Linked DNA regions of Canis lupus familiaris. The protein of the gene in region 1 purifies or fractionates together with the protein of each later gene. This does not show direct contact. Links are inferred from orthologs where the notes say so. Each region holds a gene or a part of one and is shown in the gene's direction. Other genes may lie near its edges.

Evidence for each region. Proteins that work in one complex are often made in the same cells at the same time.
Region 2: the proteins of PBXIP1 (region 1) and SLC27A1 purify together in Homo sapiens (co-immunoprecipitation; 3 studies listed by BioGRID and IntAct, with this or other methods). This does not show direct contact. The link is inferred for Canis lupus familiaris from reciprocal best matches to the Homo sapiens genes PBXIP1 and SLC27A1.

What each region holds. Positions count from the first base shown.
Region 1 is NC_049228.1:42,499,910-42,504,166, forward strand, and holds the start of PBXIP1 (pre-B-cell leukemia transcription factor-interacting protein 1), read left to right. Parts: upstream 1-1,452; 5' UTR 1,453-1,584; intron 1,585-2,226; exon of another isoform or gene 2,227-2,259; intron 2,260-3,638; 5' UTR 3,639-3,673; coding exon 3,674-3,724; intron 3,725-4,257. UniProt on the Homo sapiens protein: Regulator of pre-B-cell leukemia transcription factors (BPXs) function. Inhibits the binding of PBX1-HOX complex to DNA and blocks the transcriptional activity of E2A-PBX1.
Region 2 is NC_049241.1:45,746,698-45,750,947, reverse strand, and holds the start of SLC27A1 (long-chain fatty acid transport protein 1), read left to right. Parts: upstream 1-1,445; 5' UTR 1,446-1,674; coding exon 1,675-1,694; intron 1,695-1,912; coding exon 1,913-2,080; intron 2,081-4,250. UniProt on the Homo sapiens protein: Mediates the import of long-chain fatty acids (LCFA) into the cell by facilitating their transport at the plasma membrane.

The sequences.
Region 1 (4,257 bases):
ACCAACCTTTCTGCCTCCCCTGGTTGTTGCACAGTAGTGTCCACTCTGGTCTAGAGCTTTTGGCACCTGTATTCTGCATCCCTGGCTCGATTGAAGGAAAGCCTGGAAAGGCACAGAGCTCTTATACCTCATCTGATAGAAGGATCCCTGCTCCAGCCTATGGGTGAGGGAGGCAGTGGGACGGTCATTGCTGTGGTTCTGAAATGCAGTCCAGAGTCTGGATGTATTTTGCTTCTCTTTCCTTACCTTTCTGTATATCTTCTTGGGCCAGGTGATCTAGGAGCTCTTATTCCCCTCAGCCCGAGGCCTGAACTGGGCTTCGTGTGTTAGTATTTTATTTTATAGGCTCTGCATGCCAGAGATGGGCCAGGGGCTGGTAGGAAACTTGAACTGCAGCTGGCTCTCTTGCTTCTCATGCACACATTCCTCAGTGGGGTGGAAGGCAGGCAGCCACGTGGCCCAGAGAGTTGCTAGTGGTCGGTCCCCTGCCCCCTTCTCTTGGACCCTAGCATGTGAAGAGAAGACTTACGCAGGCATACCGCAGACTCTTCTGCCTGCCCAGCTGGAGCCAGCAAGCCAGCAAGTTTTGAGGCTGTGGGAAAGAAGTGAGGGGGATCTGGGCTTCTCTCCCCACCCAGTTTTGTGTTGTGTCCTGGTTCTGTTGCCCCTCTTCTATCTGTTGCTATTTTTGTGATGTCTTCCTCCCCACCGCCATCTCCGCCTTTTTGTAAGTGGCTCCTGGGAGAGGGAGTGCGTCAATCCTTCTCTTCCTCTCACTCCACTATTTGGAAGAAAGTGGGGGTGGCAGAGATGTGGGGGTGGGGGTCTTTTGTACGGTTGGATTAATAAAATGACTTGAAAACCCAGACAAGGACTCCCGGCTGTTTGTGCGCACGAAGGTCACCTGTGGGAAGGATGCGCGAGTGGTGAGGCTCCGTACGTGCCCGGGGGTTCTGGAAGCCCCGAGCGGTCCCGGGAAAGCCGGGGGGCACCCCTCCCCCCGCGTCCCTGAGAAAGCCTTTCCTTTCTGGCACATTCCCGGGCCGGGCCGGCGGCCAGGGCCTTAGGGACAATGCAGCTGGTGCTTGCTGCTGGGATTGGCGCCCCCCTCCCCCCGTTGTTCGGCTGGCGGTCAGGTGTAGGGGTTCGGAGGTAGGGGCCGGGGAGCACCGCCCGAGAGCTATTTTAGCAGCTCAGCGCTCGCCCAGTCCCCTCCCCCGCGCAGCTGCGTCAGTCCCGTCTGTCTGTCCGAGGGCCGACCTTGCCCCTTGGTCCTGCTGTCTCGGGAGGTGACCCCGTGCCTTCCGTGTCGGGTCTTCCCCCCAGGAAAGTAGGGGCAGTGTCTGCCGGCGCAGCACAGGGGCCGGCAGGTAGGCGAGCTCGGGTCCCACCCTGCGAGGCCCTGGCGCCCCCGGCTCTCGACTCGTCTCTTATTGGCCAAAAGTTTCCGCCCCCCCTCAGGAAGTCGGCTTTCCATTGGCCAGTCCCGGTCACGTGAGCCCCTCCCTCCCCGCTCCCTCCCTCTGGGGGCTGGAAACCCCGGGAGGCAGCAACAGGTCTGGCGAAGACCCGGGGCGCGACCAGGTGAGGCCCTGCGGGGCGGCGAGGGGGGCTCCGGGACCCCGGTGGGCCGGGGGGGGGGGCTGCCGGGCGTGCATTCCGCCGGGGACCCGGGGCGCGTCCCGGGACGGGAGCCGGCGCTCTGGCCCTGGGCGGGCGCTGCTGCAGAGGTTTGGGGGCCCCCCTACGGGGCGGAGGGTGGCTGGTCGGAGGGCACGGTGCCCCCTACGGCTGCCTAGTGGGAGCAGCAGAAGGGCCCGGCAGGCCCGAAAGCGTGTTTCTGTTGGCTCCTGCCTAGATGTGCGTGGGGAGGGGTGAAGGCGGCGAGGCCGGCGGGGAGAGGTGAGAACCGGCGAGAGGGCAGAGGTTGGGCTGAGGAGGAACTTCCTAATAAGGCGAAGAGACGCTGGCTGGGGGGCCGGGGCTGTCTTTTGAGAAATGGGACCAACCCATCGGGAGGGTCGGGGACCCTGAGGGCTGGGGTTACAGACGGCCTCCTGTTTGGGTCTCAGAAGTGTGGGTCCTGCTGACCCAGATACCGTGGCTAGTTTCCATGGAGACGGTGGGTCTGACATCACCCTGGTTGCCATGGTGCCTGGTTCTGGAGGACCAGAGTAGGCTGTACAAGGCCAGAGATAAACAGGGACTTCAGCCTGAGCTGCTGCCACTTCCTTCCTGCCACCACCTGTTAACAGCCAGGCAACCACTGGGGATGGGGAGAGGGTGGCCAGAGGGCTCTGGGGAGGTCCTGTTGGGTGTGCTATGGGGAGGCCCTGCAGTCATTCTCCCATCTCCTTGTGGAATGGCTGCTGGTGTCCGGGAGGCAGGTGCATTGGGGAAGACACCGTGAGGGCTCTGTCCCAGCTGTGGATCTGGAAAGGCCAAGGTTATTAGGGCCCTGTGCAGGACTTGCACCAGGTCAAACAGAACCGAGGCCGCGGAGGGGGTCCCCAAGAACTGCCTCTTCCCAAGCCTCACTTCCCTTCCTGGGGTTTGCTCACAGAGTCCTTTCCACTTGCTACCCTTTTGGCACCATAGGAAACAGTCCCTTATCATCTGAAGGACCACAGTCCAAGGCTGAGGGGGTCAGCTCATCTGTCCCTCCTGCCTTGTGCCAGGTCCCAGCTGAGGGGACAGTCCTGGCCTTGACTGACAGGACAGGTCTCCCTCTTCCTACCCTGCTTTGTGCCAGGCTCTGGAAGCTAGAGTGACTTCCCACTGCTGTCCTGCCAAGTCAGAGATCCTGCCAGGTCAGAGTGGATTAGCAAGGGGCAGGACCACAGCTCTGTTGTCTGTGGTTTTGCAAACTTTAAAGTTTATAACTGATAGCTGCCATTAAAGCCTTTCCCACTGGGCTTCAAGTTCCCTGAGATGAAACTCTGCAGATCATAAAGAAAGGAAACAGATTTTAGACCGGAGAGTCTGCATGACAAGGAGATTTACTGAGGGTACAGCGAATGGATCTAAGCTCTGCCAGCTGTTCTCAGGCCTGGCTGCACATGAGGACTGCTTGGGAGGTTTTAAAAAAGACCCAGGCCTGAGTCTGACCCTGAAACCAGTCAAATCAGAATCTTAGGTGATTCCAGTGTGCAGCCAGTGTTGAGAATCCTGAACCAGGGCTGACAGTGTGTGGACACTCTAGTCTGAAGCAGGCCACCGGGTCCTATCTTCTGAGCCCTGGCATAGGAGGTGGTGACTTTGGGAGAGTCTGGGTGATTCTCGCTCTTCTCATCAGCTGTTCATGCTTGGCACAGTCAAGTTAGCCAGCCTATATGGCCTTTGTGTTCTCTGACTCTAACCTGAGGGGGCTGGCCTGCATGGCCCCCAGAACCTGCCCAGCCCTGAGCTTTGACCTTTCAAGGTCAGTCCAGAGTCCCCAGGCCCCGCTGGTCCCCAGAGAGGTAAACTTCTCTGTGACTGTTGGCGGGTTTTGATTTGCTGAGAAGAGGTGGGGTGTTAGGGTTCAAGGGGTTGGTTCTGGAAGCTGCAGCCCAGCCTTGGGGACCCAAACAAGGCTGCTCTCTGCATCCTGCCTTTGCTGAAGGAAACTGGGTCTTGAAGAGCATGTTTCTCTGCAGGTGGCAGTGACGCAGCTTCTGGGACCTCTGCAACTATGGCTTCCTACCCAGGTTCTGACAATAGCTGGGTGTTTGCCAGCTCCGAGGTAGGAAGAGCAGGCCTGGGAGCCCCGTGGAAGAGAGGTTCCTGCAGGCCTGGGCTGCCTTCAGGGTGTGTCCCCTTCCTTGGTCCTGATGGTCACCTGAATCACCTCATGCTGGCTGCAGGGGAGCCCCAGGGGCTGGAGGAGGGAGATTAGGCCCCAGGAGTCAGGTGGTAGGACTTGGACCATGCCCTGAAAGAAGGGTACCCTTGGGGTCTGCTTTGAGAAGTAGGGACCAGCATGATCAGAAGACCCAAGGCAATGATAGGAAAGCCATTTTGGGGAAAACTGAGGCAGCCCATGGGATGAGGTGGTGATGTGGGTTAGAAAGTGTTGGAGTATCCCAATGGGGCCTCTAAAAAAAAAAAAAAAGAATGTGTTGGAGTGAAGCTGGGGGCAGAACCTGGGGACCCCTGAAGACCCAGGCACGCAGACCTCTTCCTGAGGGAGAATCACAGGAGGGCTTTGGGTCACAGGGACTCAGTACAGTGATTGCCTTGGGCGGAGGGTGAGCTACCCTCTGTGTGGCCTGAAGA
Region 2 (4,250 bases), on another chromosome or scaffold:
GCTGACTCTGCTGAGCCACTGCCAAGAAAGTAGCCGACCAGTGGCTGGCTCTGGGCCTGTCCTCCTGATCTGCCTCCTTGCCCCCCAGTCCACCCACTCTTGGTTAACTGCAAGGACCAATGGTAGCATGTGGGAGGGGTGGGAGCCTGCCCAGCCCTGTCCTCTAAATGGTGCTGGAAGCAGGCCCTGGCCACCTCCCAAGGAGAGCGCAGAGAAGGTCGGCCAAAGCAAGGCAGAAAACAAGTTGGGGTGGGGTGGGCAGGGGGGCAAAGGAGGGGGAGCTTGGAGGGAGGGATCCAAGGCAGTGGCCTGCATGGGCACAGCACGGCAGAGCAGGGCGCAGGCGTCTGCAGGAAGAGCGGTTCTGGAGGGCCCACGTCTCAGGCTAGGTTTGGAATCCTGCGTCTTGGCCTCACCGTCCCTGCCTGAGCTTCTGGGAACCCGGGAGCAAGCAGCCCAAGACTGAGGGTCTGTGAGCCGCTCGCTCCAGGTCAGTCAGGGACCAGGTGGTGGGCAGCCAGGCCGGGCTGGCCCGTGCCTGATTAGAAGGGCTTCTGGGTCTCGGGCGGGCATTTGGGACCGAGGGTGTGGGAGGGTGGGGACCTGGTATGTGTGGATTTTGCCCTCCCTGGGCTCCTGGGAGGTTACCCCAGGACAAGATTAACCGACAAGATTTTGCGGTATGGATTTGGGATTGGTTGGGTCCTTGAAATGTTATCATTAATAAAACAGATGGGGGTTGGATTTAGCACCTTCTGGGGCCCCTAGCTGTGAGTTCAGGGCTCCCCGGGTTCCTGCGTGCCTATTTAAGACCCAAGAGGCACTGGTGCCTGGATTTAGAACAAACGGGGCAGGAATCCAGGACAGACAGGCCCTGGGTGTGAACCGGGACTTTCTGGTCCCGCGGGCTAGGAATCCTTCAGCTATCTGGGGCTCAGGCTGGAGCCACGCCCCCGGCCGCGGGCGCACGTGCTTTCGGAACGGCGCGCGGGGGCGGGCGGGGGGAGCGGCTTGGGCGTCCGGAAGACCGCGGCCGCGCTCCCCGGGCCGTTCTAGCCCCTGGGTCTCGTTGGCCGTCGTCTCTCTGGCCCGGGGCCCCTCTCTATGGTCGTGGCCTCCGGAAAGGGGGACCTCGGCTGAGCGGCTGAGGCGCTTTGAGCTAGACAGGTCGGAGGAGGGCCTTGGGGCGGGTCTGGGCTGGCCGATGGGGAGGGGCCTGGGGCTCGAGGTGCGCCCGAGTGAGGCCCGGAGGGTGACGATTGGGCCCAAGCCTGAGGGCGGTGCCAGTGGCCAGGGGTGGAACCTGGGCCTGGGATTGGGGGCGGGCCAGGCCCGGGGCTAGGGGGAGGGGCCTCGTTGGAGTGGGCGGGGCTTGCGGCTGTGGGCGGGACCAAAGGCAACCTGGGGGCGGGGCCCAGTGAGTGGCAGAGTGAGGGTAGAAGCGGGACTTGGAGGAAAGCGGGACCTGCGGAGAGGCTTGGGGACGGGGGTGGATCCTGTAACCGAGGACGGAGGCTAGGTCAAGGCAAGGGCTGGTCAAGTGGCTGGGAAGGACCTGTGTCTGTGTGGAGCCCATGAGTAGGGCCAACTTGGGTTCAGAGTCCTGCCGCTAGGTCAAGACACGGGGTAGGGCTTGACCGGGACTGACGGGGTCGAAGAGCTGCGTCTGAGGGCATGGCCTGGACTAATACTTGGTAAAGAAGCCTGAGCCGGGCTAAGAACAAGGCCTGTGCCCAACATAGGACGGGGCGGAGCCCTGATCCGGGGGCGGGGTCTGTCCTGGACCCGGCCAATTCCAGGCGCGGGGGCGGGGCCTGAGCCTGGAGGCGGAGCTCGCTCTGGGGGCGGAGCCAGCTGACCGTGGGGGCGGGGCCCCAGCGGCCCGCGGCCTCAGCGCTCTCCGCCTCCCCAGGATGCGGGCTCCCGGTGCAGGCTCGGCCTCGGTGGTCTCGCTCGTCCTGCTGTGGCTGCTGGGGCTTCCGTGGAGCTGGAGCGCGGCGGCGGCACTCGGCGTGTACGTGGGCGGTGGCGGCTGGCGTTTCCTGCGCATCGTCTGCAAGACAGCAAGGCGGGACCTCTTGTGAGTGCAGTCGGCGCCTGGGCCCCCGGCTGGGTCCGCGACTTGGGGGTGGTCAGGAAATGGGGGGTCCTGAGGGCTTGGGGAGACCGGTTTTGGAGACCGGGGGCGAGGCTTAGGTGAGATTGGGGCTGGGAGCGGGGCCGGGGCCCGAAAGAGTGACAGGTTGGGGGTCTCTGAGGGGAACCGCAGGGGACAGCTTGAGGGTCTCTGGAGGGAGATGAATAGGTTTCGAGATTCTAGAGGCTGTTTGGGAGACCTTAGGGAGCTGGAAGGTAACTTGGGGATCTTTGGGCAGCTGGTAGGGGGGTTCCCAACAGAGAACTGCGGCGATCGGGAAGCCGTGGGTATTTGGGGGTCTCTATGGGGACTTGGTGCCGGTGAGAGGCCCCTAGGGGCTCTTCAAGGATTCTGGTAGGTCCCTAACGGGTCCATAGTGGTGACTCAGTGGTCTTTGGGGGCTGTCAAGATACTTTGGATTTTTTAGAGCTTTCTCGGAGGGCGAGGGATGAGGGGGCTTCTTGGGGGATCTGTAAGGGACTTTTAGGGTTTCTGAAGGGTGTTTATCTCCTCAGGACCATTTACTGGTTTCTCTGTGGCCAGCGCACTCTTTGAGAGTTTGGGATCTGTGCAAGATTTGGGGGGTTCAGGATTTGTGTGTGTGGGTGCTATGTACTCCGATTGCTTGGGGATCTCTAGAGACTGTGATTTCTCAGGAGGGGATGCAGGTATTCTTGGAGGAAGATCTTTAGGGTGTTGCCGAGGGGCTTCCTTGAAGAAGCTGTTGGGGGTCCTCCTGGCATGAAATAGGTGTTACTGGGGATTCCCATCGGAGCAAATCTTAGTAACAAACCCCACATGGGAATGGCTGAGCACCTGCTGTGGGTTTGCCAGGCTGATCCTCTCAGGGGAGATGCAGGATGCAGGAACTCACCTATTGTAAAGGTAAAGAAACAGGCTCTGTGAGCAGCAGGGATGGTGTGGAGCTGGGGAAAGTTCCACTGCCAGTTGACTGGTTCTGAACCTTCTAGAGCTCATCCTTTTCTCTCCATGCCTTGACCCCTGCCTCTGCCCTTGGTCTTTCTGATATGCAGATTTGACCATGCAGTCTGTTCACACACCCTTCACAACCCCCGTCCTCTGCAGGAGGAAGACTCAACCTCCAGCTGGACACTAGGGGCTGTGACCTATGCTGGGATCTGCCCACTTGCCACTCCCCACCTCCGTAGGTTCACCTGACCCTCATATCAACTTGCCTTGTCAGACTCAGGATGTTCCTTCTGTCTGGAACATACTGGACCTCCTTTTGTCTGCTGATGCCTTATGATGTTGCCTCTCTCAGGGGACCCTTTGCTGAATTTTCCTACTCAGCACCCTCCCATGCTTCCTTGTTGCCCTTAGAATTTAGACCACATGAGGTTCCCGACCACGTCCCCAATCTCTTCTCCTTTCTTTTGCCACTCTTCCACCTACACTGGCCTTTTTGCTGTTCCTAAACATGCTCAGCCCTAGGGAGCATGCCCAGCCCTAGGGACTTTGGGCAGCAAGTATGCTGCTCCCTCTGCTTGGATTACTCTTTCTTTGCTCTTCATTTTCATCATGCCATGGCTTGAATGTCACCCCAGAGAGCCCTCTCCTGACACCGCGTCCCTGTATGTCCTCTCACCTTGTTGCTTTTTGGCAGAATGGCCAACATTTACAGAGTGCTCCCTCTATGCCAGGCAGCAGGCTAAACATGACTTCTTTAAGCCCTCCCAACAACCCTGTGATGTGGGTACTCTCTTGTCCCCATCTTACAGATGAGCAAACTAAGGTGTAGCATAGTTTGGTCACTTGCCCAGGGTCACAAAGCAGGTAAGTAGTAGGGACAAGATTTGAACCCAGGGGGTGTGGCTCCAAAGCTTGACTTGTAACCACTAGCAGCATTTGTCATTTGTAATTATTTAAGTCTCTTTCCCTCTATTAGGCTGTGGGCCCTTTGGGGGCACAGTGGAGGCTGTGTTGGTCTTCATAGCCCTGGCCTCCACGAAGGGTGGCACATGGCAGGAACACGGGATATGTTTGTTGGCTGGCAGGCCTTCCCTAGCTTCCTTGGGTTTGCCCAGGCCCCAGCTCTGCCTTATTGAGCTGGAGTGCCTGTTCCTGGCTGTCTCCCCTGTGGATGGGGCGGGAG